4 linked regions of the Oreochromis niloticus genome follow. Each later gene encodes a partner of the first gene's protein in a complex. Links are inferred from orthologs where the notes say so. Each region holds a gene or a part of one and is shown on either strand. Other genes may lie near its edges. The genes, in order: eif3d, eif3s6ip, eif3i and eif3jb.

What was found.
Region 2: eif3d (region 1) and eif3s6ip share a complex: the UniProt entries of both Homo sapiens proteins name them as parts of the eukaryotic translation initiation factor 3 (eIF-3) complex. The link is inferred for Oreochromis niloticus from reciprocal best matches to the Homo sapiens genes EIF3D and EIF3L.
Region 3: eif3d (region 1) and eif3i share a complex: the UniProt entries of both Homo sapiens proteins name them as parts of the eukaryotic translation initiation factor 3 (eIF-3) complex. The link is inferred for Oreochromis niloticus from reciprocal best matches to the Homo sapiens genes EIF3D and EIF3I.
Region 4: eif3d (region 1) and eif3jb share a complex: the UniProt entries of both Homo sapiens proteins name them as parts of the eukaryotic translation initiation factor 3 (eIF-3) complex. The link is inferred for Oreochromis niloticus from reciprocal best matches to the Homo sapiens genes EIF3D and EIF3J.

The regions. Positions count from the first base shown.
Region 1 is NC_031969.2:30,431,894-30,439,485, reverse strand, and holds the start of eif3d (eukaryotic translation initiation factor 3 subunit D), read left to right. Parts: upstream 1-4,579; 5' UTR 4,580-4,733; intron 4,734-6,582; 5' UTR 6,583-6,585; coding exon 6,586-6,708; intron 6,709-7,508; coding exon 7,509-7,554; intron 7,555-7,592. UniProt on the Homo sapiens protein: mRNA cap-binding component of the eukaryotic translation initiation factor 3 (eIF-3) complex, a complex required for several steps in the initiation of protein synthesis of a specialized repertoire of mRNAs.
Region 2 is NC_031978.2:25,123,363-25,131,012, reverse strand, and holds the start of eif3s6ip (eukaryotic translation initiation factor 3 subunit L), read left to right. Parts: upstream 1-4,632; 5' UTR 4,633-4,769; coding exon 4,770-4,793; intron 4,794-5,150; coding exon 5,151-5,193; intron 5,194-5,355; coding exon 5,356-5,566; intron 5,567-5,645; coding exon 5,646-5,725; intron 5,726-5,953; coding exon 5,954-6,015; intron 6,016-6,116; coding exon 6,117-6,186; intron 6,187-6,279; coding exon 6,280-6,353; intron 6,354-6,566; coding exon 6,567-6,738; intron 6,739-6,888; coding exon 6,889-7,043; intron 7,044-7,592; coding exon 7,593-7,650. Other genes in the region: smoc2 (SPARC-related modular calcium-binding protein 2), read right to left, coding at 2,893-2,967. UniProt on the Homo sapiens protein: Component of the eukaryotic translation initiation factor 3 (eIF-3) complex, which is required for several steps in the initiation of protein synthesis.
Region 3 is NC_031985.2:30,543,701-30,551,708, forward strand, and holds the start of eif3i (eukaryotic translation initiation factor 3 subunit I), read right to left. Parts: upstream 3,011-8,008; 5' UTR 2,853-3,010; coding exon 2,850-2,852; intron 2,469-2,849; coding exon 2,376-2,468; intron 2,298-2,375; coding exon 2,210-2,297; intron 1,933-2,209; coding exon 1,867-1,932; intron 1,355-1,866; coding exon 1,205-1,354; intron 938-1,204; coding exon 810-937; intron 282-809; coding exon 171-281; intron 52-170; coding exon 1-51. Other genes in the region: txlna (alpha-taxilin), read right to left, coding at 7,330-7,665. UniProt on the Homo sapiens protein: Component of the eukaryotic translation initiation factor 3 (eIF-3) complex, which is required for several steps in the initiation of protein synthesis.
Region 4 is NC_031965.2:18,810,054-18,817,368, forward strand, and holds the start of eif3jb (eukaryotic translation initiation factor 3 subunit J-B), read right to left. Parts: upstream 3,007-7,315; 5' UTR 2,864-3,006; coding exon 2,851-2,863; intron 2,704-2,850; coding exon 2,615-2,703; intron 689-2,614; coding exon 631-688; intron 538-630; coding exon 440-537; intron 352-439; coding exon 255-351; intron 1-254. Other genes in the region: strc1 (stereocilin), read right to left, coding at 4,875-4,969, 6,208-6,358, 6,853-6,950, 7,151-7,299. UniProt on the Homo sapiens protein: Component of the eukaryotic translation initiation factor 3 (eIF-3) complex, which is required for several steps in the initiation of protein synthesis.

The sequences.
Region 1 (7,592 bases):
AGTTATAAAGAATCAGGATTTATGAAGAGGTCAAAACCATAAATATGGTATAAAGATGCCTTTTAATTCTGTAAAGTTTGGCATTTGTTTTAAATTCTGTCCTGTCTGACAGCTTTTGCAATCAGATTTGTGATCTGAGTGCACGGTGGTGCCAAACACATTTTGCTTTCCTAAGAACAGCTATATAAAATCTGCTTGTTCGGGTGTTTCTTTCTTTTATTTATTCATTTTTATTCATGTTATTTCAGTTATTACATTATCTGTGGGATGATATGATGTCTAAGGGAGGACATTAGAAGATGTTTTTGTACTCTGTTTTCCAGTTGCTTGGTCCAAACCTGTAAAACGGGCTCAGCAAGACTTGTAGATATTTTCAAGAAAGAAAGTTAAAGATTTACTTTTTCGCTTTTAAATTTTCAGGATGTTTAGTTTTATAATTGTCTCATACCTTCTGCAGCTGTGAAGCAGCGTGGTGTGAGGTGGATGTCAGTATCAGGTGGAGTTGCTGCGCTGGCTCCTCTCACTGGGTCCAGCTTGATTTATTAATCAAGTGCTGGAGGTTGCAGCAGATCGTCATTACTATTGTGATGAACATTGTGCTGTTACCTGTTGTTTGCAATCATCTGCCTGTAATAATCCCGTCTCTCCTCGCCTCTCCCGGTTTCCTGCTCCCAGCTGTCTTGGAAACTGCCCTCCTTCGGAAACACACTCGGCTGCTGCCTGTGGAGCAAACTTGCCCACTTCATCACTTGTTCTCTGTAACCTGTCAAAGAAAGGAATCACCTGCTCCCCAGCCTACCCACGCTCTGCCTGTTCTCCTTACTAACTTCTGATTTGCCTCCAGCCACCCACAGACCCCCCTCCACGACTCCATTCTCCAACAACACAAATAAGACTGACACAGTTTATCAAACTCAGCTCTACAAACAATATTCCTCATCTGCAGTTCCGTTAGCTCCCTGTCTCACTCGGGCAGACCTCCTGTGTTTTGACACTTATGTTGCACAACGTTGACACCTCCAGCCTGCTAGTTTTTTTCACTATTCATTTTTTACCAATAAATGTCTTAAACTTGCTAACTTGTAACAGCTGTATGGCAGCTTTCTTGAGAAACTGGAATACGTTCTTTTCTATCCATCCATCAATCATCATCTTCGGGTCATGATGGCAGCAGGCTTAACAAGGTTTCCCAGATATCCTTCTTCTCAGCAACGCTTTCCAGTTCCCCTTGAAGGATCCTGAGGCCTTCCACAGGCCATTCAACACATATCATTTCTCCTGGGTTCTCCTTCCAGTTGGTCATGGCTGGAAAACCTCCAGAGGGAAGCATCCTGGAAACATCCTAATCAAACGCCTGAGCCATTGCAGCACGCTCCCTTTGACGGGAAGGACCAGCAACTCTTCTCTGAGCTCCCTCCAGATGTTTGACCTTCTCACCGTGACCTTGCGCTTTCAGTCACTACCCAAAGCTCGGGAGCATAGGTGAGGGTTGGAACATAGATCTAAAATTGAAAGCTTTGCCTTCCTCACACTCCAGTTTCCCATTCTTTTGTGAACAAAATCCGAAGAGTTTTAAACTCTCTTCCTTGGTGCAACTTTTCCCTGATCTGGGGGAGCGGTCCAGCTGCTTTACATGTTTAAATTCTACTTGAAAAAACTGAGAAACAAGCATTTTTCATTAAACTGAAGTTGCCAGTAAACTGTATATGCCTGGCACTTGATTTTCCTGCGGTGGCCCTTGGTAAAACTGAGTCTGACACCATGGGTTTAGAACAAAGTGGTGTGACAGATGTTGCTGCTACTGTAGAATTGCAAAGAAACATCAAGTCTGACAAAAATACACCTCTGCGTCAGACGGCGGCCGTGTTGTTCCTTTCCACCTGCTAGCAAAACACCCTCTGCGTGAGAGTGTAAAAGATATTCTTTTTGGTTTACAGAAATAATTCATACATCCATCAAGATACATAATAAAATCACTTAGTACACACTGTGCTGACCATCTGTTGTCAGCGCCGCTCCAGAAATCCCGGAAGGACGACTGTGGGCATGTTTGATATGACTCACCGCCCAGCTGCTGGGAGATAATCAACACACAAAACAAGGAAAATGGCAGAGTTCACTGTGGTGCTGTGTCTGTTGTCTACACAGTGAGAATCTGTGGTTTTGTTCGAGCTCGACTAAACGACAGGGACGAGAATGCAGATGTGGAGAAAGACTTGCAGATATGCAAAGATGGCAGCATTATTCATCACCCAACTGATCCCTGAGCAGCAGGAAGGGCTGACGCTGCTGCAGGAGAATTCATTTTCTCTCTGCCAAATTGACAACAGTCGCGCACACAGACTCCTTTTTGTGTTTTAATCAGATTTCCTGACCTTTGCGCTGCATGAGTAACATCTTAATTGGATCGGGGATTCGTTTAGAAGCCCCTCTCGAGGCCTCTGAGGTGATGTGCGTCTGATTTACATTTCCAAAGCACTTTTGACAGAACGTGTATGAGATTAAGCTCTAATTACTTGCATAAAGCAGCATTAAAAAGACAAAATGAAACACGGTGGACTGACAATAAATGGAGCCTGTATGAATCTTGTATCTGCTGAGAAAACAAGGAGAGACAAAAGAAAAAGAAACATGCTCAGAAAGCAAACCTGTTTTCCTCTAAGGTGAACTTTGCTCCAGTTACTACAGTTGAGTCCATATAGTCCAACACGGTGAGCTACACCCTCACAGGCCATCTCAGAAATGGCAAAAAGAAGAGGAGACAACACACAAAAAGGAAAGAAAACAACCACTTACACATGGCAAGGTTCAGTAACCAGCACTTTATATGGAAAGCAACAGCAAGAGCTTGGATGAGGGACACTTTCTGCAGAATGGGGAAACCCAATAATGTGTCCAGGTGTTACTCATGCAGATTAACAAATCCTCCAGTCCAGCCTGCAACACACAACACGCACACACCTGTAGTTCTCAGGTGGCAAACAGTGTTGTTTTTGCTGCAGGTTCACGTGCAGCTCCCAACAAATGTGACTGCACAGTGTGGTGATGCATACTGCTCCGGAGTAATCTGTAAACATGACATATTGATCTGCAGAACGATTTTGAATCCTCTGAATGATTTTTCTAAGGTGGCTGTCTGCTGTTCTTTTCTGCAAAGCTCTGACGGGCATCTATCTCCTTTGTGACTTTCAGGAATTTCAGTAGTAGTAACTGTTGGCTGACGTTAATCAGCTCCAGTTGTGCTCATTTTTAGTCGTCGCTGGTTCAGTTGCACAAAGAACTTCGACAAAAAGGCTGAGAAACACCATTGCTCATGGCTGCTTTCAAAGGCTCAATTTATATTCAAACACAGGAGTTTATTTAAATCACGTCAAAAAATGTAATTTAATCTGCAAGCTATCAGATAAGTGCAGTGCAGTAAATGTGCATGCAGTGATGTATAAACTGGCATAAAATGCAAATAAAAGAACCTCAAAACCGAGTTTGTTGTCCCAGTAACCAAACCCTATGACACCCTCAGGATGGATGGATGGATGGATGAATAGATGGGTTTACCAGGATTCTGCCACTGACTGAACAAAAATTAACATACAAAAAAATTATCAGATAAAAATGACCACTTTCCTGTTTAAACGGCTTAACATAATTAATAATTTAATACTCATTCTATGCTTTTTAGAAAGTATAGGTGTTTTAGGTTGTGAATATTGGATGTAATTTGTAGTTTCAAACGTATTTCTACACATCGACTTAAGAAAACATAATATTCACCTCATTTAGTTTGTTTGGTTGTTTGTTTTTTGATATTTTCACGGCTGTTTAAATGTTTTATTTTGAAAAATGTGCCCGGAGCTGTAAATATATTTTGGACGTTTGTGGAGACCATGGGCGATCACAATGTAAAGTGCCCTCCTGTTGTCAAAGTGTGGAATTGCAGCACGGTTTTGACAAGAAAAGTTGTTAACTAGTTGTTAAAATCAAAATTTCTGAGTGATTGTTGTTGTGATTATTGAAAAACACGGCCACTGTTGACAAACCGCAGTATTTAAGTCTTTTTTGGAAACATGTTTTGATTGTGTCGTTGACCGTTAACAGGAACACATGTCCCATCGCTTGAAGTTGCTACCCTCTAGCGGTGACACCGCCGAACTGCACCACATAACAGCTGCCAAGTTAGAAGTGATAAAATAGCCTCACATCCGATGCGTTCTTTCAAAACAAAAAGACATGTAACTAGCGCAAAGGGATTTAAAAAAAATCTGGCTAAAAATAGGCTAAAAAAAATATAGTGATATGCAAAATTATACAACATACAAAGATCTACAGTATATCTGTATGACTGATTGTTGCATTTCTCTGTAACAATATAGCAAAATAAACTTAATAGGGTAGAATTTGAAAATAGCATTTCAAAAGACCATTCAGCCTTTCATTTGCTCTTTGGCCTAATTTTTAATATTTTTAATTATTAAAATTACACACATTAACTTGTATATTTTTTTAATCTTTTTCATGTAATCTGAAAATAGCAGTGATTTTATTTTTTTATGGAACGCTCATTTCAGACGACGGTAAAAACTGACGTACTACGCCGGCTGCTGCTGTAACACAGCAGGAAACACTGCGCTTTACGGCACTTCGCACTTCCTTTCATACCGGCGCTGTGTTGGGGCAGAGCAGCGTCAGAGCAACGACTGGATTAAAAGACTCCATATACTGACACAGAATTAACGGTAAGAGCAGAGAAAGCACGCACAGACGTGTGAAAAGCGCCTGTTTTTAGCAACGTTTTCAGTCAAATATCAGAGATTTGTGTTTACGCGCGTGACGCCCTCCACCCGGTTAGCTTAGCATTGCTAGCATGACCACCTGGCGGTGCCTAGTGTTAGCATTAGCCACGATGAGCTAACGGTGCAGAAAAAGCGTTTCAGTGCTGCTCTATTTCTTTTAAATAATTACACTGGCTGATCTCAAGTTAGCAACTGTATGTTTAGTCTCAGTATATCTAGTTTTTAATCAGCGATTGTTACCAATTGGCTGCAAAAAGCCCGTAAAGAACCCATTTATTCGTTTTTATTATCACAAATCTAAAAGATCAAATCAAACGATAGATAATGTTCTTGGACGTCCTAATGGTTGAAATCTTAGAATCGTAAATGTACCAGCAGTGAGGACCGATCATTACTTTATGTTGCAAACTTTAATGCAGCATCACTGGATGATGAAATGATCCACGTCAGGCCTACTGCGCACTCAATCTGCTTTGGAGATTGTCTTGATTGGTCTTTGTTCGTCGGTCTTAAAAGACACCGAGTTAGTAGGGGATGTTTTATTTTATCCACAGAGCGGTTCTTTGTTGGTGGGAGCATGCCAGATGTTATCGTGAAGGGCGTTCCCTCAACATAGAACCGGTTCCTTTACTCTGGTTTTTGAACTGTACCACTTAAACCTTACAAAGTAATATTTGACCCAGTTGTGGCCCACATTTAGGCTTGACCCTAGATAAGTATGTTTACATGAATGCAACCTCAGATCCATCTAAAATGGCCCAGATGTCCCACATGTGGGTCACTCATCATTTAAACCAGTAAAATACTGGCTTTGTGGCCTGTGGTTCATGTCTGGGGGTATGCAGCATTTGCTGTGTTGTAACTAAGCCTTGAGTGTCAAAAGTAGACCAGATTTCTACAGGTCAACCTGACCTGCACTAAAATAATTTGGGGTGCATCCACACGCATTCATCTTTGGTTAAAAGCCCTTCTGTTTCGATTTTGTTTTATTGTAATCACAAATCCGGCACCGCAGTATAGAAAGCCCACGCCCCCCTGCTGATTTAATTATAGAGTAACACAGACACCCTCCACCCACGTTAATAGCTGACAAAGGTGTTGGTTACATGCTTAGGCAACAGCTTAGACCATAGGATCCCAAGTGGTGTACCGCAGGATCCTATGTTAATCATACAGCTGCAATGACTGATTCACGAGCTATGTCAGTACTTTTTAGGCACTCATGTACCGTATTCTCTTTCTGTTTTTGTCAAAGGGATCCAAAATCTCTTTGTTGATAGATGGTAGGAAATATTACAGGGTGACACATTAAAAGCACTGAAACCACAACTAACCATCAGTTAGATCCACCACCTAAAGAAAAGAGAAATGTGGGAAGAAACTATCCCAAAGACTTCCTTATATTAGCTAATTATGCAGGAAATAAATGAAATAATAAAGCGAACAGGGTAATTGTTGTAAAGAAAATACTTATTGCAATTATTCCATTTTAACAATCAGTGGAAGCCAAGATTGTAACTAAAACTAAAATTTGTTTAACTGAAGAATCCCGTCACTGTTTAAATATGTTGTATTACAGCCATAAATCATAGAGTTGACTTTCAGGGGTCAGTGATGACTAGCCCACTGCGCAAGCTGATCAATGCCTGTTTCTTTTAGTGCATTGCTGAAGAAATCAGTGCTGCTCATTGCCTGAGACCCTGTATGTGTAATATCAGTCAGCTAGACCCAGAGGGTTTTTAATGTTTGGTCTCAGGTCTGATGTCTTTTTCCCTTTTCCCTCTGTCTTTAGGCCATGGCGAAGTTCCACGCCCCTGTGATCCAGGACAACCCGTCCGGCTGGGGTCCTTGTGCGGTCCCAGAGAAATTCAAAGACATGCCCTACCAGCCGTTCAGCAAAGGAGATCGTCTGGGAAAGGTTTGTGTTCAGTTCTGCTCGGAAAAAGGGAAAAAAGTTTTCCTGAGTTTAGTGCTGTGCAATATGACCAAAATCTCATATCCTGATATAAGAATTCTATCGTCCTGATAACGATAAAAATCACAAAAATGCAACATTTCCTGTAAATTCTGTGAATCTCGGGCAGCTCGACTTGTGTGAAGTGTTTCCAGCTGGGCGTTGTGTACCTGGAGTCGAGTGTTTTAACCGATGCATGAAACGATACATTTTTAGACATAAGTTGTAACAGCCGCCGTTTTCTTTGTGAGTATTTATTACACGGCGTGCTGCGGGGAAAAGTCTGTTCTAACGTTTGAGTCTAAGGTTTATTTTTTAGCACCTGACGGCTCTTTTTGCTTCTCATCCGTAAACTCTCTGCATACCCTTTCATGTGATTCAGTTTATTTTGAAAAGTCTCAACAGGATCTTGAGCTTTATTGTGAAAGGTTTATGTGGAAATAAACAAGCGGACACGCAATGGTTTTACCATCGTTGTTGCTAACGACTACGCATAAAAACAGGCGCTTGTCCGTCCGTAGTGTGGTTATATTAAATATAAAAGAAAGAGAGAACTTTAAGAAATTAATATAGCCACTACAGTGACCATCAAAACGATGAAACAATATTGCCGTAAATAGTTTATTTTGCGACACCACGAAACAAATGATAGCATAAAATGAAACGATAGACGTTTTTATATCGTCATCTGATATCTATCGTTACATCAAACAGCTCTACCTGAGTTTGTTTTTTACTTACTTTGTGTGTTTTGGGTCTGACAGGTTGCAGACTGGACTGGAGCTACTTACCAAGACAAGAGATACACAAGTAAGTCACAGCTGTACAAAATCTGCTTCATTTTACAT
Region 2 (7,650 bases), on another chromosome or scaffold:
GACATCGCAAACAGAGTCATTCAGCGGCCCAGCATCCTGCTAGAAGTCTGCTCTCCAGCACACACAGCATAGTGCCAAGCTCCAGCAAGTTTACAGTGAAGCTCCAAGAACGCAGCATGGAAAAACACAGTTGAAATCATGAAATCAGCCACCCATGAAATCAACCACCCAGACTCAGTTTCAGACATCCGAATATTTATTTCTAAGCCGTTTCAAAGTTGGCCACACTGAAGGAAGTGCAAACAAATAAGATGTGAAAGTGAGGGAGAGGAAGAAACTTCAGAGACTAATGGTGCTTTGAGGGCTTCTTCCTCCTGTGTACACCTAATTGTAGTTAGCTCTCTGCTACAGATCTCTGTGTGTTTTTTGCCTGTGGTGATGGATGGGTGAGGCTGAGGCAGAGCCCCGACACTCCCCTGATGTCTCATTCCAGCCTCTCCGAGTCGACACCATCATCCTGCACAGGAATATGGTGGAGAGTGATGGATGGCCTCTGCCTCAGCTACATGCGGCACAGACTTCCACCCTGAATTATCATAAAAGGAGACTCGTGCAAGTCTGAACACGCATTTTGACTCAAATCAATTTATTGCTCAAATCCCACTCCCGTCTACTTGCAGACATCTGGCGCTCACTTTCTCTGTTTGCCTTTCTCTTTATTTGGCCTCTCGTGATTTTTTTTTTCTTTTGTTCTTTGTGGGATCTCTCTTGGAAGATGCTTTTTGCATCTGCTCTAATAATACAGAAGGTTGGCAAAAGAACAAGAGACAGGCAAGAGAGGGCGAGGCGGGTGGAGTGTAAGGGAAATTTTTTTTCTAAGATCAACCAGCATACAAATCAAATCCTATTACCTCCCCCTGGCTCGACGGCATTGTGGGATTGAATGGGGTATGGAGGAGGCGAACCTCCAGCAGAGAGCGCATTGTAGGCTGATAAGAGCCTTCTGGGCTGGGAGGCCCCTGCTTCCAGCGCCTTGAGAGGCCCCTCACACCACAGCCCCACAGGGTCAATGGGGGCCCCAGCTGAGAGCTGTGGCAAACGTGTTAAATGCCCTTGCCGGGAGTTTCCTGCGTGGATGCTAGGATGCAAAGGGGATCATTAGTTTCCAGCATGGTGGAAAGGGAAGAAAGTGTCAGCCTTTAACCAGCCTACTAACTCAATCAAAGGAAAAAGGGATTTAATTGCTTTGAGAGATGTTAAAAAGAAAAGGAGGTGTTGCAAAAGGCTAGTGGTAGTCATGTGATAAAGAAACCCGCCTCTTTGAGCAGGTGGAAAATTTTAGGAAAGCACTTGGGGGGCAGCAGGGCCCGTGTTAGATCAAAAATTCTACATAAAGATTTGAAAATGAGGCAGCCACTATTCTGTGTGCCCTCATCTTCTCACACACTATTTCATATTTCCATAAACAATGGAAAAAATCGGTCTCATGAATAACCCTGGGCAAATATCTCATATATTTAACTGCCTGTCTGACCTCAAATATGCACAAAATATAACATGAAGACATTTTCTTTTAACCAGTAATGGTCTCTCCTGTATATGTTAAACAATAAGCCATTAATCACTTGCAACCTTCTTTGTAAAAGAAAGTTATACTACTAAAGACAGTCTGATTAGCCCGTGTTGGGAGGTATGGCACACAATATGAAACAAAATTAAACTGAGGCACGCAACAAAGTAGAGAAGTTTCTCGTTCTTACACTCGTCTCCAGAGCACAGCAGATAATGTGTCATATCCAAACAACCACAAACACAGCTACACCCGTGTAACCTTTCTATTAAATGACAGGTAAATGGTATCAACCATGTCACATATAGAGAAATACTCCTCACACTAATTATCTGTAGCCTTGGTCTGTGTGTGTGTTTGTGTGTATCAACTCAGTGAAGCATCTGCCCAGTACAACGCTTCCTCCCACATTCCACAACTCTGTAGTGCCGTCAGGGAGAAAGGATCTCCGACCCTTCACCTGAAGGTTAACAACTCATGGCCATTTGTTTCCAATTGGATACCGAGGCATCTTCTCCAGAACCATAAATACTGGTGCTGGGAGAGGTGGCTGTCACATCAGCCTCTAAATCAAAAGGGGGAGCCTCTGACAATGCACATTCCACTCTCTATTAAGTGTCCTTTACCACTGTACCTGCACTTGATCATGGCCATGAAATTCCCCAGAAGATGCACTTTCTGTCAGAGTTTAATGTAAGATGGAGAGGATGCTGCTGTAAACAATGCCATGTGCTTTAATGCAGAAGATCCCGGCAGCTCAGCCTCTGAAGAGCAACTAGAACAACAGGAGCAAACCAGACAGAAAGGCAGCAGAGCCGAGAAGCTGGCAGGCAGGTTACAGCAGCAAAACCAAACCTGCAAAGGATCTGCTGCACACCAGCCAACTGCTTACAAACCTATAGCCTTTGCTGTGCCAACACTCTGAAAAGCTGTGGCGCTCAGTTTACATGACTGACAAAAAACACAGAGCCATTTTCTCCGTGCACAGCTCTACTTGATGCTCTCTTGAGCTCTAAAATGGATTTCTGCCACATATAAAACATTCAACTAATACAGCCCACTTCTTTTAGAGTGAGATAACCTCAGACTCAGACTTCAGTGTAAGAATGTGGCAGAGTGTAGTAGTAATTGACTTCAAATGCGTCATTATCGGTATTGAATATTTTATTATTTCAGATTCTTAGACTAAATAGATCACAAGAAGCTTGACTTTTAAGAAAAGGGTGCGTAGGAACTATTTCTTTTATATTAAAAATATTTTCCAGATTGTGAATTTTGGAATTTTATTCATAGAAAGCACATGCACATCCTTTCCATTTAAAACATCTTTTACTCATGAAATTGAATGACATTCATTCCGGGAGTTAAGTGCCTCCTCATACCCTGAGAGCGGAGAACTTCTGAACGCCTCCAGCGCACTGTAGACAGAGGAAGACCAGCAGTGGACAGATGCGCATCCTGACGCAGCGTGGTAATATACTCTCCAAATTACGCGCGGTCCAAAATCGTGTTGGTAGGAGTTCACCTAGGCGCAAAACTGTCTATGGGAAAAGTCAAAAATAGTTTAAAATCCGCACCAGTCCTTTCGAAGAAGTCACTGGGGGTCGGTGGTGTATTTCACGTCGTTTCCTTGGTTTCGTCTGCCAGCCCGTTTGTGTAGACACGCTCCTTATTTCTGGCAGTCCGATAAACCCCCCCGTGTCCCTGACCTTTTCCCCTCCCTCGGTGTCTCTTTCTCCCTCTCTTTAACTCAACTTCGTTTCTCCACACCCCCTTTCTGCTACACTTGATTCTGTGGACTAGATCCCTTATCGGATGCAGGCGGTTCCCCAGCCGGTAGTCAGTCAGGTAGGCGTAAGCTTACGCCGTCAGCTGCTGGTAGTTGAGTCAAACACGTCAGGTATTCTTTTCTTTACGTAAGAAAGTGGTGTGAGGATGCTCAACCCCAGTGAAGAGAAAACGCAGGAAGGGGTCAGAAAGTGTCTGCTAGGTGGATCAGCAAATAAATTTTCGTTCTGATGGACGCATACACAATCACATTTAAAGTTTTGATTATACGGCTATATACAATTCTCAAAACAAAGTTAGACAAGCCCCTGAGTTTCACACAATACAGATTAAAAAAACAAGCGGCGCCTAGAATAACAAATATTTTGGCAAAAGTAAAATAATCTAACAATATGTCCCTTTGATCACACATATAAGACAAAATAGCATATTTATTGGCCATATTGTATTAAACCTTTCTCAGCTTTGTAACTATATGCTGTATGAGCACGAACCAGTTTGCAATTTCTTCCCAATAACTCTCCATTCGCCGAGTCCACGGCCACTAGTGCAACGTTTCAGAGCGTCCCACTACGACTATAACGCCACCTAATGGTAGATGATAGTCTTCACAGTCTGCTCAATACACTCCATATGGTCAAATAGCTGTCGGGGATTTCGAAATTCTACACATCAGTTCGGACTTTTGCGTTTGCCAGAACTCTGCGTAACGTATTCTCCACAAGTTTATTTTATTCTCCACGAGAAAAATTAGGCTGAGTTTTCAACATACATTTTTTTGTGCAGGAATCAAAGAAACTTGACAAATAAGAACATAGGGCCTATATCAAATTATATCTGTTCCTCTTGGTTGTTTGTTTTTCAGTACCTGCACAAGAACCCCTTCAGTAGAAAGGTATTTCTCGCCAAGAGTCCGTTTGTTTCCCGAATATATGTTTGGTCAAAACTGGTGTAGCCTAATTAGTATCATTAGACATCTTTACAATACATTATGGTGAGTAAAAAGCACAGCTGTAAACAAATACACAGATGCCGTGTCACGAACAGACACTAGCAAAACAATGAGGTTCATAAAATACATTTATGAAACCCTAATCAGAGCCCTAGCTTGCTCTTGTTCTCAGTTACATAGGTATCATTCCCTACGAGAAACTTAAGAAGAAAAAACGTGGAAAGAAATGGCTATTCGTTTTTAAATTCACCACCCTCTACATCTTTTTTTGTTTGAAATGGCTTTTAGAGGAGACATGCGAAAGTTTGAGAATCGAGTGTTTCTCTTGGTGAACAACAAACTCAATTTCCCACAGTGCTCCAATAACAATGCGTGTCACTCCTACGTCACAGCTACTTCCTTCCGCTTCTTCTCGTCTCTCCACCGCCAGCTGCGTGGTTTAGCGGCGGTAGCTAATTGAGCATACATTCTCCTTTTTCACTCCAGCATCTAAACTAGCTTGAACTAATAGCTAATACAATGTCATACCACGACGAAGAGGATGTAAGTACACATTTACTCCTTCAGACATTTTAACGTTTTGACTACAATAACAATGGCACACTGTTAGCTAGGTAACACACACTGTTAGCTAGGTAGCTGTGTAGCTAGCTCGACTCCACCGGCATAGTATAACAGTGGCTTCAATGAGTTAGTGTGATATAAATTTACTCTTAACCCCTGCTTTAAGAAAATGCAACCTGGACAACTAGCTAATTGTCTGTAACTCTTTTTAGTGCATTTTTATTATTATAAAATATCGCTATATAATCGATCAGTTGGTCGCTTCTCGCTGGGCAGATGTATCAATATCAGATGCTGTATCAGTAACAAATGCCCGATTGCTTTGTTTCCTTACAGTACGATCCTTACTCCTACACAAACGACTACGATCTGCACACTGGTAAGTATACAAATAACCATCCCTTTTATACTCATACTATCAATATTTACAGATACAATCCTCTTGTTTAGTCAGTCAGTGTATAACACACAGACACAAACATACACAACATAAGTAACTTTTAGAGGAGAGTAAAGGATATTCTTTTAATTTTCCTTGCAGGTGACCCTAAAGCAGACCTTGCCTACGAGAGGCAGTATGAGCAGCAGACCTACCATGTCATCCCAGAGGTGATCAAGAACTTTCTGCAGTATTTCCACAAAACCATCTCTGACTTGATTGACCAGAAGGTTTATGAGCTGCAGTCCAACCGGGTGTCTAGTGAGAGCATTGAGCAGAAGATCTACGAGATCCAGGACGTCTATGAAAACAGGTAAAGTTAACTCTGTGCACATAACTCTCACACCGTGTGAGATTAATATGCTGACCTTTTCATGCTCTTGCCCATTCAGCTGGAACAAGTTGACTGACCGTTTCTTCAAGACCTCTCCCTGGCCAGAGGCTGAGGCCATTGCATCACTTGTTGGCAATGGTGAGAGCGTTATCCATTACTTGTTCTACTTTTGATTTTGTATGGATAGTATCATTTTTATTCTTTATTGTTTGAGTGTGATTTAAAAAAAAAAAAGATAAACTTGCACCGCTTAAGATTATTATTATTATTTATTTTGTATATTTAAGATTTTATAAAAGTTTTAGGCCTCCTTTGTGTGGTTCAGTGGAGATGTTTCATGTTGTTTTTGTCTCTTGTGTTTTGCAGATGCCGTGTTTCTCATTCTCTACAAGGAACTCTATTACAGACACATCTACGCTAAAGTCAGCGTGAGTAGCTGCTAAATATGAACAGTTGTCTGGGTCTTTTTTATCAGTGTCCAAAAAACTTTCTAGAATTTGGTTGAAAAAAGTATTTTCTGTATAATCAGGGTGGACCAACTTTGGACCAGAGATTTGAGTCCTACTACAATTACTGCAACCTCTTCAACTACATTCTCAGTAAGTAGCACAAATTGTCCATACATTTTCTCTTACCCGTTGTTGTTAGTGCAAGAACAGCAGCTTAATGAGATCATTGTTGACTCTAAACAGATGCTGATGGGCCGGCCCCCTTGGAGCTGCCAAACCAGTGGCTCTGGGACATCATTGATGAGTTTATCTACCAGGTACATTACAGTGTTTTTAGAGTGCATGCTCAACAATCAATAAGATCAAAATAAAGAAAAGGGCTGATAGCTGTTGTTGTTAATGTTATCATTGCTTTAAGCACCAGATAGGTGACATATTAATGAAGATATTCGTGGTCTTTAATGATCACTAGTCCACGTGGCTAGAAAGCATATTTAAAATCCACTAACAGACATCTCTTCCACCTTCAGTTTCAGTCATTCAGTCAGTACCGCTGTAAGACAGCCAAAAAGTCTGAAGAGGAAATTGAATTCCTGAGGAGCAATCCGAAGATCTGGAACGTCCACAGTGTCCTCAATGTTCTCCACTCCCTGGTGGACAAGAGCAACATCAACCGTCAGCTTGAGGTCTACACGAGTGGAGGTAAAGAACAGTGTTTTTTATGATATTTATAGAAAAGATGGAGTGTTTCTAGAAACCTAATTACTTTAAAATCTTGAATTATGTCAATTTAAGGCTTTAAAATCCAGGATTGTATAGGTCGTGAACATGTTATGTGTTCTTGTAATGCAGGAGACCCAGAAAGCGTGGCTGGAGAATATGGACGTCACTCCCTGTACAAGATGTTGGGTTACTTCAGCTTGGTCGGGCTTTTGAGGCTTCACTCTCTGCTTGGTGACTATTACCAGGCCATCAAAGTCCTGGAGAACATTGAGCTCAATAAGAAGGTACGACCTTATTTAAGACCTCATGTATAGAGAGGTCTGGTCTGCTCCAATGGTGATGATGAGCGCTAGGATTGGGTGTCTATATGGAAATATGTTGTTGTTTCCTCTTGTCCTAGAAGGTTTGATACAATGCTGACAGATACTGATGTTTTTAATTTAAATCAAACAAACGATATTCTCCGAGGATTCTTTTGATAATTTGACTCAGCACAGTTTCTGCTTTATCAGTCTTTATGCTCATGAAATTTAATGTGGGCAAAGTGAAGTTGCAGTAAAAAAGAAGGAACTCATTAATTTACCTGACACATTAACAATGAATAACAATTATGATACTAACATTGTAAAGTAAATACATAATTCAAAGTTCTCAGTTCTTCAGTAGCACAGAGTCAAATAGTTCATTTCATCTCAAAGTTTTTGTTAAATCAACCTTTGTAGCCACAAATAAAAAAGTTTGGTTGATCTGTTGAAATTAAACATTAAAAAAAGAAACTGCTCGTTTGCTCTGTAATTCATATTTCTGCATATTTTCTTTTGCCTGTCTTTCAGAGTATGTACTCGCGTGTTCCAGAGTGCCAAATCACCACATATTACTATGTGGGTTTTG
Region 3 (8,008 bases), on another chromosome or scaffold:
TCTCTCTGTCTTAAATGTCTTGATGTGATCCAGAGAAGTCGAGTCAAACAACTACAAGAACATGAGGAAGATGACCAACACTCAGTAACAGCATCACAGACATCTGCATGTGACATTAAAGCAAACGTACAACAGTGACCTGATCAGGGAGGTTGTGTTTAAAGGCTTACCTTAGCAGTGTTGTCCTTGGAGGCAGAGATGAACATCGTCAGATCCACTGATGTCTGGATGTCGTTGATCTGCTTGGTGTGCTCCTTGGCCTTCTTCAGGATCTCTCCGGACTGTCCAAAACATGAAGCACGTTTCAACGTGACGCTTTGAAGCGGGATTCTTTTTTTTCTTGTTTCAACCCCCGGATTTTTATTCGTGCACTTCAACCATTCAAAGTAAGCCTTGTTCATTTTATGTTACAGTGGACCTCATCAGTTCATCCTGTCTGAAACAAGCCGTTTTGGCTCCGCTCCCTTTAAGCCATTTCTGACCTGATAAGCTGCCTCTTGCATGTGTGAGATAACCATACAAGGACGCCCTCTCTGACATCACACAGGGCCAAGGTAGGAAAAGAAGATGGTGTGAAACTGTTTGGAGCAGTCTGGCTTATAATGACTCCTTGTACATACTCCAATGTCATATGAAATTCTGGTCATGTTTAATATGAGCAATCACCATGGTAACAGCATATACAGAAAACAAGGGAAAGGTGAAGAGGTCACATTTTTGTAGCACTGTGAGCTATGTGTAGTTAGCACTTGGCTTTCTATGTTGCCTGTTTAATACACTCCCACATGTTCCCAGTGTGTGACACAAACCTTGGCGCTAAACTGGTTGATCTCCCCGTTCTCATGGCCGGCGATGACAAATTCTCCCAGTGGTCCCCACACAGCACTGGTGATCTTGTGGTCACTGCAAGGTACAGTCAGGTAGGGCTGGTTGTCCTCTGCAGAGAGAAGAGAGAAAAAAATTACAACTTTATACCACTGACATGAGCCATAATCTGCATGTACGACAATAATTCCACTGATACAGTAAAACTCTCTCTAAATACATATAAAACTGAGATAAAGATGAGTTACTTCACACTGGTCTATGGAGGAAAATGTGCCCAATGGTGGCTTCAAAGCACCTCTTCTGATGTGTGACTCTTTAGTCTCGTAGCCCTTTTTCTTTAAAGATCAACATGACTGCTAACACTGTGTATATGCACCTATCTGCTGTGGATCCCGCAGGTCAAAGAAGTTCAGGAAACACTGGTAACCCATCTGCTTGTCTGTGGAGAACATGATGATGTTGCCGCTGAAGTCGAAGCCGCACGTTCGGACAGCAGAGTTGGTGTTGAGCAGAGCCAGCTGTTTACCTGTGGACGACACACAGTGGGCTTTATGACACTGTAGAACAAACTACTTGCGGTTAGAGATGTCTCATACCTGAGTGGTTCAGACGATGCTGCAAAAATGGCATTAAAGTGGATACATTGTTTTTCCTTATTCTCTTATACATACACTGTTACAATGGTCGATGCTTTTATTAAACTCAGACAAAATTTAAAATGACAAATAATCCCCACAAAACCCTCAGTTTTTTCTACCCTTGGCTCTATATGATGTCATTGAAAACAGATTTTTTTAATATGGCCATCTCAGGCTGTGAGCACAGAAGCCCCACCCACCCCTTGTTCAAATCTTTTGTTTGCAAGAAGCAGCCAATAAGAATATAGTTACACATAAAATGAAAGGAGCTAAAACAGCCAGTCTGAGACAGAAGATCAACTGAGGGGGCAGAGCAAAGCCCAGTATACCACACATGAGGATTAGTTTGAAATCATGCAAAGCTAGTGAAAGAAAAATGATTAACTTGTTTTCAACCTACCAGTCTCGCAGTCCCACAACCGACAGCTGTTATCTGCTGATCCTGTTAGCACATTTTTAGTGTCCCCTGAGAGAAGACAAGTTAAGGATCCAAACATGCGTATTCTCAGCACAGACACTATCACAGGATTACAAACTCATCCCAGAAAGTTTGCTCTGTTCATCTCGATGTCACATATCTAAGACCACCTCAGCTCATGTTTTTAAGATGAACAGAATTACTTTAGTTGGATTTCCTTACCTGGATGATTGAGCATGCACAATCAATACATTACAATCCTAAACTACATCCGTTTGCTATAAAGCAACATTTCCAAGCATTTTTTCCAGAAAAATAAGGATACAGTCACAGTCCACACACCACACAGCTCCTGTGTGTCCGTTGTAGGTACCAAGCCTCTCGCCATTGACCGAGTACCATACATTAGTTACCTGTAGAGAGAGATGGTCAACGAGTTAGCCAGCTGCAAACAAACAATGGATCAGTGAACTTGGCTGTTATGAACCCACCGTGTCTTTAGCTACAGAGAATAGCAAGTCTCCTTCTCTGTTGTACTTGATCTGAGTGATGGACCTCTCGTGGCCCTGGAGCAGGATCGGTTTCTGTGAACAACACCAGCATTGATTTTAAATCAGCAGGTCGCCCTGTTTTCAAAGGGGAAACAATGCGGAGGACTCTACGATGACGAAACAACTATTAACGTTAAAATGTTTGACAAAACAGCGAACGACAGAAAATGGCAAAGAAGAAAAAGGGAAAACAGCTTTTCACTTGTAGCAACCACCACAGGCCGGCGCAACCTCTTTTAGCTACACCCAGCTAACACTAGCTCAAATATAAGCTGTAGCTGGCTAATTTTCGAGCTAAGCTAACGGTAGCACCAGCAGTTACGCTAGCTAAGCTGGAGGCGATCCTGGTATCAACAAACCGCTTCATTCGAAAACGATTAGCATCAAGAACCATTTACCAAGAAGCACACTAACCATTTTTGTCAGCTAAGTGTCGGCAGCAAGTCCAGTATTGTCGCCGTTCCTCCCGTGGAAAGAGAAATGATGAACACTCGTGTTTCAGGCGCCGGAGCCGCGGCGGAAGAGGAAATGTTCTTCTTCTCTTGGCGGATGGGGAAATCGCATTCGAGCGCATTGCCGCCACCTCCTGCTCTGGAGAGTAGAGTTACGCTTAATAGTTAAAAATAATAGTTATAAAGGAAATCCTTAAAAAACCCCTCTTGTTTATCTTTTTTAAACACAATTATTCCAACATATTTGTCTCCATATGTGTTCGAGATTATTTTCTGAAAATGTTATTGATATTTTGGCTCCAGTCTGATTAAATTCTTTTTCACCCATACTATAAACAGTGTATATATTGCTACAGATAGCGGTAATTTATAACAGTATATCATTTTAACTTCTTTCCACATGTATAATTTTCCCTTTGTCTTTTCCTCAATTTTCATTTCATTTTGATCCATTTCCATGTTGAACATAAAAACACATAAAACCAGTTTTATATATATAATAATTCAATACCAGGTCCAATAACTTGTAGATGAAGGTGGGGGAAATGATCATTAGGTTAAAAATAATACATAAATAAATAAATAAATAAACCTATCAGAGACTTTGCAAAAAGTGTAAGTGTGGTTAAATGAACAATTTGAATGAAAACAAACTCACTGGTCAGCTCAGCGCCTATAACACATGTGCCAAAAATAGTCCGGGGGCCAGAAACGGCCCAGCAAAGACTTCAATTCGGACGGCTGGACATCTTTGCAAAATGCGAAGGAGAGCATAAATTTTGGACTTTTAAGTACTTTTTAAAAAAAATAAACTTTACAGGTTTTCCTGTTGATAAAGGCCTCCCCTATTGCAGTTCATACTACACCAACATAATAAAGTAACAGTAAACAATTAAATGACAGAAAAGTTCTTTTTTTTTTTTGTAGTATCTACTATAGAAATTCATGGGTTTTTTTTAACTTTGTAGCAAAAAACTCAGCAATTTTCTGAAAATAATATAAAAACCTCGTGTTTGATAAATACAGGTCAGTCTCAGCAATGAGCTAACAGAACATTTTTTCTGCAGCGCATTCATTCCTTACAGTTTAGACCCAAAGAGTTTTGTTGACAGATTACTTTACTACAGTAACATTTCTCTATCATGCAGGAAAACCTGAGAGGTACTATTTAAATTGCACATCATTTCCTTATAATTAGATCACTCTGGGATTAAACATTTAATTCAACTTCTTTTCCCGCTTATAGTATGGGGAGCTTCACCGGGCCGGCCCCTTAAAAGTTCAAATTGGGCCATATGTGGTCAATGATGTAAAACGTCTTTGACATCCCCGATCTTAAAGGTCTGAAAGTCCACGGACTTCTGACACTCTGAAAATGAGGCACAGTGTCGAAAAATGTCTGGATTTCCTGAACAGTTAATGCGGCATTTTTGGAAATCCACCTCAACTTAATATCCACCGTGGTGCTGTAACTGAGGCAAAATTACACACATGCTCAAAACACAAGCATCACTGACCAAATATTTATAGAAGCATCAGATAAAAGCTTGAGTCTAGAAAGTCAAAGCTAAGTCAGTTCTTTTATTTAACAAGAAACAAAATATACAGAGCCAGAGAAAAGTACTGCAAAAGACCAAAAAACCCAACAAAAACAGAAACATCTTTGGTTCCTTCTCATGGTTAATGAACCTCCCAGTCCACTGTGGGACAGGAATGAATCTGTCCTACGGGACAATGGAAGAGATTAGGTTTGTCATTGCGATATCAGATGAAAATGAGTCGTCACTCTGTTCCCAGTGCTACATATTACGTAGTACACAAGAATGTCAGAAGACACGTGTTCAATGGTCCATTAAGAGGCGGTCTAACTTTTCCATCTGTATTCACATCGGCTCAGTCGGTGCATCTTTCAAGAGATTCACAACATTACGCTCAACGTCGAAACAATCCGGTGTAGCTCAAGTGTGGGCCAAAAGGAAAAACAAATATATATGTGTGTGTGTGTTCCTCGGTGAGATGTCATGTGTGGTACAGCACATCCATGCAGGACAGTGGATATAATGCAAATACATTCTCAGCTGAGTGCTTGTCAGATCAGACTGCCATAGAATAAAACCAAGACACGAGCGTTGCATAGAGGTCTTTGAACATTCAACTGGAAAAACTGGATTACAAAGTACTTCTATCACACACACTCACCATACACACACCAGACAACCATGGAGTTTAAAGAGGTCATTACTGCAGAGTGACAAACCCAAACAAAATTAGCAAAAAGCAACTGAAGACATAAAACTAAAACTCTTTAGAAATGCTCTAAACTAATGGCGAGTACAGCGTGCTCTGCCAGATTTCCACATTTCAATGACAGAGATTCATCTTCCAACAATGCAGACGGACCAAAAGTTCAGGAATGCAACGATATTGGAATATTGACAAGTAAAATGATTCGTCGATCAGTGGCTGATATTAATCTGCTGTCACATCAGTGATGTGCTGCCTTAATTTTCAAAGATAACATGCTTAACTGCCATAAAATTGCCATTTTAAAGATCAGTATGACGCTTTAATAAGTGGGACTCAAATTTCAGGACCGAAAAATTCAAGAAAATGATTGATTTTCTTCTTTTATGACTGGAACCTGCTAAAAATATTGTGCCTGATGCTGCTGTTAAGACTTCACTTGAAAGAAACACATAAAGTGGGTTTTAGGATAAACACTGACAATCAGCGTGCAAACTGAAGCAGACTAACTGGACACACACCATTCAGCCTCTGACTCTTGACACCATAAAGCAGGTTGGCTTCATCGCACACAGCAGTGTTGCTGTTGTTGCCGGGCCGACTGGACCGGAGGTGTAGCAAAACAGCACAAAACAGAGGCGGTCGGTGGAATTACATGCACACTAGTAATGAGGTTAATACGGACATATATTTTGGAGTTTTCAGCTAATAAAATACTATTTATTAACTGTCAAAAAAACATGATGAGATCTGAAGATGATGCGACAAAAACCTCTGGGCCTGAAAAATGTGAACACACAAAGTGCCAGAAACTGCAATTCCTCCTTAAACTTGAATAAACACGTTTCCAGCCCGGGACAACAAATCCCTTCATAACACCACCATGACAACCTGTTATCCATGTGAATCAACGCCTGCTCTGACCGACACAGGGAGCTGTAGTTAATCGCTGTTTGCTAGGTCAGCTAATTCAAGTCACTGAGCTGGACAGCTCCACCATGTCTGTGCTGCTGGGACCTTCTGGAGGATTTTATTAAATGAAATTAGTTTGTAATCTAGTTTGAAATTCTACTATTTTAATCTGTTGCAGGCATGTGTGCCTTTGCTTCGCACCCCTACAATTTATGAATGCATCTCGCTAACCAAGCTAATTAATATTAGCTGTTAATTTAATATTTCCACCTTCTTGTACAAAGATGAAAGGTCACTTCTGACTTTGAAAATCCAACACAGTCACGGCCAAAACACTAAATTTGAGGCTTTTAAATGTGACTTAGAAACCAAAGGGTGGCCACTGTTTACATACAGTCTAAGGGCAATATTAAGGCTCTGAAGATTATTTCAAAGATGCTATTATAATCAATATGTTAAATATGGATAGAGATGTTTCTGGAACTCTCATGGTGTGATTTAAAGCAGGAAATAAACTTACTGAGTACTGAGTACAGGAGTACATGTGTGAGTTCAGAAACAGAAAGGAAGAATATGGCAAACTTCAAAATAAGGGGAACAAACTCGAGAGTTAGAAATGAAGAGTCAGAATGATAAAAACTGGCTCTGGATCTTAGGAAATAGAATGAACAAAGTGATGTAGTTAATGTAAATTTATTCATACGAGCTTTATATATACTTTTAATTTGCTAAAAAAGCTTTGATAATTTGTATATACAAATTTAGATGTGTTAATATGACTACACGGCATGGTTTTATGTAGTTATGGTGGTCCTTTATGTCATCCTGGGTTTCTGTTCATTGATCATTTTTACACATGTTGACATTAATATGTAGATAATAACTTGTAAATATGATCACTATCCTTTGACTATAGTGATTTCTGAAAGTATTGTAATAATATTAACTTGCGTGGCTGATTAGTCGCTTCCTGTAGATGATCACGCTGGATAGATGCTAATAAAAGCCATGAAAACCAAATTACAGTGCATTATACATTCACAGTAACTGTGTGATAGTGTGCATGTAATTACACCAGCAGACTTTTGCAGAAGATTCTGGGAGATTACAACTAAACCCTTCTGTCAAACGCTGATCTGGTATTCTGGCCTCGTACATAAAGGTGTGACTTTGCAGTTTGTTTCCGTCCCAGTGTTTAACACGGGCTCCATCCAGCAGAGGAGTAGTGGCTTGCAGGCTGGTGGCTTATCTGTGGGTGGTTTGAAGAACGTGTGAGCAGTGCTGCTTCATTCCTGTGCCTGGACAGGCTGAGTGTTTGCCTCTTCCAGCAGGGTGTCTGTGTCCAGCTGTGGCTCACAGTGGCAGGAGTGGGAGCAAGAAGAGGTGGAGGCGGTGGTGGTGTCAGGGGCAGGGCAGGTGCCAGGCTCCAGCAGAGAGTCTGTAGGTGGTGGAGAGGGGGAGTCAGTCCCTGGGTTGGAAGTGGGGGCTCCCTCTGTGCCGCCGCTGAGGCTCTGGACCTTCTTGTTCAGCTCATTCCGTTCGACTTTGAGCGCCCGCCGGAGCTTCTCCAGCCGCTGGACTTTTCCCTGAAGTGCCTCAAACTCGCGATCCCGAACAGCTTTCTGTGAACAAACACACATCCGGACAAAATTACAGCAACTGTGCTCTCAGATTTTTAGCCATCTGTGCATTGAAAAACAGAAGATTCCAGTTTCAGCTGTAAGGAAGCTGAAACATCGTCGTGTTGTCACAGAAAAGATTCACATTAGTGAGATTTTTGGCTTATTGTATCCATAACACAAGTAAGCATGGATCTGTTTAACATCCTAAGAGAGACCCAAAGGCGGTGACATCGTTAGGACTCTGGACTGAGCCACTTATGAAGCTGTGATGTCGTAACTTTGCTGCAAAACAAGATTTGCAGGTTATTCTACGGTTCATGTGCAAAGTCACCAAACTTTTGGT
Region 4 (7,315 bases), on another chromosome or scaffold:
ATAATAGAATGGTGCATTGTTCCTTTGGAGGTGAGGTATAGTATGTGGCATCTACAGCTGAATTACTGGGACATCTGTGTAAAACGTAAAAGCCAAAGGAGTATTTAAGCCTTTTAAGTCTTAGTTAAATGTTAACTACAAGCAACAGCGACTAATGTATTGCAAACTAAATGTATTGCATCAGTTACACAACTTGATTTTGTGGAAGACCTCATGTTCTTGATAAAAAGTTTCTACACCTGATCCGGTCTTACCAAAAGCATCTTTTGCTAGCTCCAAGTCTGCGTCTTCCTGTAATTTCTTCACTCTTAATTTTTCTGCCAGCTGTTCTTCAGGAGTGAGCTGTTCTTCCTGTAAATAAAAATGTAAGAGTTAAGATATTATTAGAGATAAACGAGCATAGAGTCAAAAGGTTTACAGATGAGAAAGTGGGACTTACTTCTTGCTGTTCCATTGCCTCCTGTTGTTTCTTCTTCATCCGGTTTTCTTTCTCTTTTATCTTTTCACTAAGTTTTTTCTTTTCAGAAACCTTTGGCTCTGCAAATTAAAATAATGACATAAGAAAATTAAAATCATTCAGTAATCAAGTATACTCCATTAGTGAAAGGCAAGCGGTACTGGGATACAAACCTGGTTTCTTCACATCTGTTTTTTTCTCTTCATCTTCTTCATCATCGTCCCAGTTGTCCTGTGAACACACAGAACATAATGTGTGTAACTGTTGCCTTTTTATTAATATGTAAGCTAGAAGATGTAAATATATAGACATAGATGTATAATGTAACCAAAAACAAACAAACGACACACATTAATATGGCTTCCCAGAGCCATGCTAAAGCCTTGAAAAGTCTTCTTTTTTTTCTGAGCAACATCTTAACACCTACAGAACTAGACAACTTTAAAAATGTAAGTCAAAGGCTGCAATCAGTCAGAATGTTTATTTTAAAATAACAAAAAATCCAAACTTTTTAAAACATAAAATTATCACTTATCGATATGCAACAGCTGCCACTTCATTTTCTGAAGATGAATAACTTTTGTTCTACCTCTAGTTCAAATTATTCTAGTCCTGATTACACTGGCGTAGATGTATATAAGCTGGATCGATCAACGTTACTGATCCAACAAGGGTAATTACTGTGTTACGGTACCAGGATAAAGAATAAAAATAGTACAGTCTACATTAAAAAACTGAAAGTACCACATGCACACAGTGAGTGCTTAATACTGTGTAATAATGCAGAACTTGTATATATTAAACAGTGATTAAGAATCAAAAAATATAACAACATTAAAGTTTAAGATTCTGTAATTCATGACAATGAGTTACGAGTTATGACATCAGTGTTAATTTATTAATTTATAGGTGATGACTCTTCAGACATCACTGGGGTTGTGATCCTGTAGATTGCTGTCTTATATTAAGATCCACCTTAAGTGTCACTACAAATAAATGTAATCCAATCCAAGAAGATACTAATTTCTAACTGAAATATCCAAGACTTTAAACTGTGAATTACTACACAATAAACATTTGACAACCGGCCTGTTGCATTTCCAGCAGGTTATGAACAACAACAACAGCAGCTCTGGAAATAAATTTAATTATCTTGAGTAAAAATTAACTTTGTGCTATTGTCTGATTTCCACAAAAATCTTAACCCTTCTTCCTAAACAATGACCATTTTGTACTACAGAGGACATAAAACCATCAGGCTCTTCAGTCTGGACGCCATATGCGACAGAAAACGGGAGAACTGAAGAGGCCTCTGCCAGCACTTTCCACAGGATCAATTATCTGAGGCTTCTGGACAGAGACCGTGCCAGTTTTCACGTAGCAGCTACCTGTATTACGGTATCAGCTGAACAGCGGCTTCCTACTGCCTGCTGTAAAGTCGGAAAGTTCCAGGCCTAGTTCTTGGCTGAGTTGAGTCATCAACCCAGTGGATGATTTCATCTGAATGGGGCTAAAGTTGGTTAGCACGCTAACGCCGCCTCATACTCAACGTGACTCAAGCTGTGGGTTTGCCAGAGTAGACATAATTATGCTAATCTCCAATAATCGTTTAATGCAACTAAATCTGTGCAATAATGGGATGGACCTGTATATTAGCAACACATGAACAAATCACTCAATACTGAGGTCACCCAACATTAAAGCCTATTTACAGACGCAACAATACACGAGAGCTAGCAGACTAGCTAGCTCAAGTGGCCCGTCCGGTGAGAGATTAGCTTCAAGCACCGCTATCAAAATTCATGACGCCAAGAGAAGTAGAAAACACTACTAGCGTCCAAAAATTTGATTAAACCTATAAGTATGAACTGGCACGCCGTTATTCAGTTTGTTAACAGTACGTTTGAATGACTGAAACTCGAATACCAGCATACTGTTAGCTGAGCTAGAGTTTCCAGAGGCTGCTTGTTGGAGCCACATGAGTTAGCATAAGCTAACAGGGGTTCGGAGGTTCGGACTGACAGGCGGCGAGAAACCACGACGAAGCGTGGCATTACATCCTGTCGCTTGCTCGGTCAGCTAACAGCTCGCAAACAACCGGTGGCAGATTTTAAAAAGCGGCTCAGACTATACCGAGTGTTCGTCACGATATTTTACCTTAACATCTTCATCTTCGTCCTCGCCTTCCCATTTGTCCAGCGCTGCCGCCTTTTTAATCGGTTCCTCCGGCTCGAAGTTGTCAGCGTCTGTAAAAACAACAACATGAGAGTCGTTAGGTCAGTCCACATCTGACACCTGGAGTTAACAATGAGAGGTGTATTAGGCCCTTAAAACAGCGAGTGCGACAAGTAAATGTTGTACAGATAGCCATCCTTCCCAACTTAGTTTCTCACCCCAGTCCGCCATGTTGGCTGTGTTGCTTGTGTTTGACAGGCTCGCTGTACAGTCAGTGCTGCAGCCCGTTGGCCACGTTCAGAAACAGCTCCCACCTTCTGGGCGGCACTCCGGCCTTATCTAACGTCCACGGAGCACTTTCAGCACAACGACCCCGATACAACTAATCTCATCACGCCTTTATTTATTTCAATTGTAAACATGAGACGCTACAAGCAAGCTGAAGCCAAGTTCCACGCATTTTTAAGTCGAGCATTGTAAAATAAATGTGTTAAAAGTACATTTTACATCATTCTTACATAAAGAGTCAAAACCTATTCTTAATCTCTTTTGGATACATTTGGATACACTACATATTATTTTAACCGAAGAAAAAATAATTAATTAATAGCCTTAATTTAACTGAATCTCATAAGGGAGTATAATAAAGTATATACATTAAAAATTGTTTTTTAATCATTCTTGTCGAGAAAGTGCAGTACCTCAGATGTATGATATTAATGGGAATTGAAATGGAAATGGTGATCAATAATTCCTCAGTGATATATTAAAATAAATAATATTTTTGAAGGATCAAGGTCGAGCTGGAAAGGATGTGCAGCGGGTTAGGGTGACTGAGGATAGAGATGGAAATGTAGTAATGAATAAAGTTTACTGAGAGAGTGGAAAGGCTACTTTGAGGAGCTCATGAATGACGAAAATGAAAGAAAGTTGAGGATGGATGGAGGGCAGTGAATGAGGAAGCAAGGAAAACTATAAATAGGATGAAGAGTGAAAAGGCAGTTGGTCCAGATGACATAACTGTGGAGGAGACATCCGGGAGAGGGGGCAGTGGACCAGATTAGAGAGTGAGAGGATCCCTGGGGGATGGAGAAGAAGTGTACTAGCACCCATTTTTAAAAATAAGAGTGATGTACGACCCCTAAACGAGGCAACCGAAAGAAGAAAAGGAATTCTTTATACGACCCTTGCAAATGTGATTAGTATCCAGTTACCCATTGCAAAAAATCTAGTTTCATACACTCTTTCTGTTTCATCATCAGTGATCATAATTTTGACTTCATTCCTTATTTGCCTGTTACTGAATATGATAGCTGTGATTTATTGATAATTTCAACTACATTCAGAAGCTATTCCAAACCTTTTTTTCCTACGGTATAAACAGAAAAAAAACCTCACAATGAAACCAGAGTTATTATTTATTTGCACACAGTGGTATCTATCAGTGTGGTAACTATTTAACCAGGAATGTGCCACCCCTTTGATACCGTTATCTCCAGCTTTATCTTTAGTAATCTGTCATCTGTAGTGTCAAATGCTTTTTGAATGGTGAACAGAGCTGTGGGTAAAACTACAACAATAACAAGCAATAAAAAGAGCCAATCAGAGGTAGATTGGTTCAGTTTATTGATCATTTAGAGTCATTTTAATCACACCACAAAGTGTGCACAACAGTACAAAACTCACAGCAACAACAGACCAAAGTTGATCAATACTAGTACAATCAGGCCCTACTAGGTATTGTTTTGTAATCAAGATAACTCAAAATAGACAGATATATAGAAAGTGTTATCACTATTACTCACATAAATCTATAGTTCCCCAAAAATAAATAACTTTGTACATTTGCAACAGATTTCTTTCGTAATAACTGCACAACAATTATATTTTAACCTTTATCATTTTTAAGTATTATTTCTAGGTATGGCATCCCTGAGAAGGATATATATGGGAAAGTAAAGTGTTTAGATAGGTTTGTACAAAAATAAATAAATAGTCTAGGATCTGTGGGTATTAGATAGATTTGCTGATTAAAACAAACAGCTCTTACTCTCTCAAACTTTGTTCTTTCACTGCTAAATGTTGATGCTAAAGTAATAGTTATACAAGATCAATTACAGTGTTGCTAAAAAGAGTATGGAAAGCTTTAAATGCTGTTTATTTCAAAGAAATACAGCATTGTGCAGACAGACAATCATCATGTAGAAGAGGGGGTCTCCTGATTCGGCTGGGGTGAACGAGGTCATGTGTCAGGGCAGAGCAGGACGGTCAGCAGCATCAGCAGTCCCGATAAGAGACACAGGGGGCTGTGGCTCAACGCCAACCCCAGTGACCTCCCTGCAGGAATTCAGCAAAAGCATTACAAATGTAGAGCTATGCAAAAATATAGTTCAGGCAGATTCATATCACGGTAGGCACTCTCTCCACACCTAGAGTATCCATGCATAGCATATCTAGCAAGGCATAATGTTCATATGTTAGATAATGTTAGAAAAGAAAGCACACTGGAAACATCTACAAGTACAATGAGAATAAAGTGCTGAAACCAGCAAGGAAACAACAGCAGCTATCGTCAGCCTTGATTTTGGGAGTCAAATTACAGTAATAATTTATACACTCACGGGTCACTTTATTAGGTGTAGCTTGCTAGTACTGGTTTGGTCCCCTTTTGCCTTCAGAACTGCCTTAATTCTTAATTCCTCACAGATTTTGGTCTATACTGACATGATAGCATCACACAGTTGCTGCAGATTTGTTAGCTGCACATCCATAACGCGACTCTCCAGCTTTACCACATCTCAGTGGTGTTCTACTGGATTGAGAGCTGGTGACCTCCTCCTGCTGGAAGCTGCCATCAGAAGATTGTACACTGTGGTCATAATGGGATGGATGTAATGAGCAACAATACTCAGTCAGACTGTGGTGTTTAAATGATCCTCACATGGTACTAAGCGGCTCAAAGTGTGTGGAAAAATGGGCAACAGGAGCAGAAAACTGAGGCTAAAATTCACACGGGGTCATCCAATGGTGTGATAGATATATTTCCGTAGCACACTTTGGGCAGGTTAGTACCAGCTAAGCACACCTACCTGAGTATTGTTGTTGATGTGTCATGTTCACCCCATTATGACCACAGTGTATCCATCTTCCGATGGCTGGTTCCAGCGGGGTAATGCACCATGTCACAAAGCTGAAATCATCTCAAACTGGTTTCTTGAGCATGACAATGAGCTCACTGCACTAAGACACCCTCCACAGACACCAGATCTCAATCCAATGAAGCACCTTTGGGATGTGGTGGAACAGGAGATTGTGCAGTCTGCAGATCTGGAGCAGCTGTATGATGCTATCATGTCAATATGGAGCAAAATCTCAGAGGAATTAAGAAATAAGGCAGTTCTGAAGGCAAAAGTGGATCCAACCTGATACTAGCAAGATGTACCTAAACTAGCATAAAACTTTGGTTAGAGTTTTGATAAGGGCGATTATATTTTCATCAGATAAAGCGATTAATGCATAAAGAAGACAAATCAAGTTTAATGGTCATCAGTGGACAGCACTGATTCAGGTTTTACCTCTGAAGTCTACAGGCTTATCGTCCCAGGGTGTCAGCACCATAGCTAGAGCTGTTTTCTGGAGGTCTGACAGAACAGAGCGCTGGTTATCAGTTACTGCAACAGCCTGCTCGTAGGAGAACATGGCAATCTTTTCCTGGGAGAATACCACCTTTTGAAAACAACAAAAAAAACACGGCGGGTGGGATTTATTTAGAGAGATAAATTAAAGACATGATAAAGATTTGTCAAGATGGACGCAAAAACAGGAATACATTTTTTTTATTGTAAGAAACAAATGTTACTAAAAATTATGTACTTTTTACACATATCTAAGTGTAGTTTAGCTCACCTTGGTATTACAATAATGGGCCCTGACCAGTGAAACTAATCTTTCTGTCAGTGACAAGAAGGTTTACTACCAGTTTAATCTCTGACATAATATACTGTGGTGTAGTATGGATTGCTGTGGGAGAGTTTGTCATTAGCAGGAAATGCTGTAAAAGTTATTACAACACATTTAAAAGTCCAAAATAATATTTCCTCCTTCACATTTTCTAAAGCCGTCCAGTTGGCCGGATTGGAGTCTTTGTTGGTTCATTTCTGGCCCCCGTGCCTTATGTTTAACACCCATGATATGGTTGGTTTAATTAAATCTTGACTCACAGCAAACTTTTCTTGTGGCATCATTGAGATAGCCAAAGGTGCAATTCCCTCAATTTGCTCTTTTACCAGCGCTGACATGGCCATGTCTGGGATACCCACTGAAAAACAAGCAAAATGTTCCAGTGAAACAGAGCAAAGGGTGCTAGAATCAATGAATCAAATGCTTTTACAGCAAAGCATAGAGGAAAACAAAATGTCTTTGATTTAAATCTCTGACCTGACCACACATTAAGGCAGATGTAGGACTATGCATAGTACATCTAAAATTCATGTGGCAAAGACAATGAATAGACAATACCTGCCAGGACTCCGATCTCAATGAACACATCGGTGCCCCAGGAACTCATGAGTCCAAAAGCGAGGCTGTGGGTTAGCAGTTCAACAAGAGCTTGCAGCTGCTCCTCTGAGCAGGACAGCCTGAGCCGACCCAGCCTGAGAACCGCCTTACTGCAGCCATCAGAGG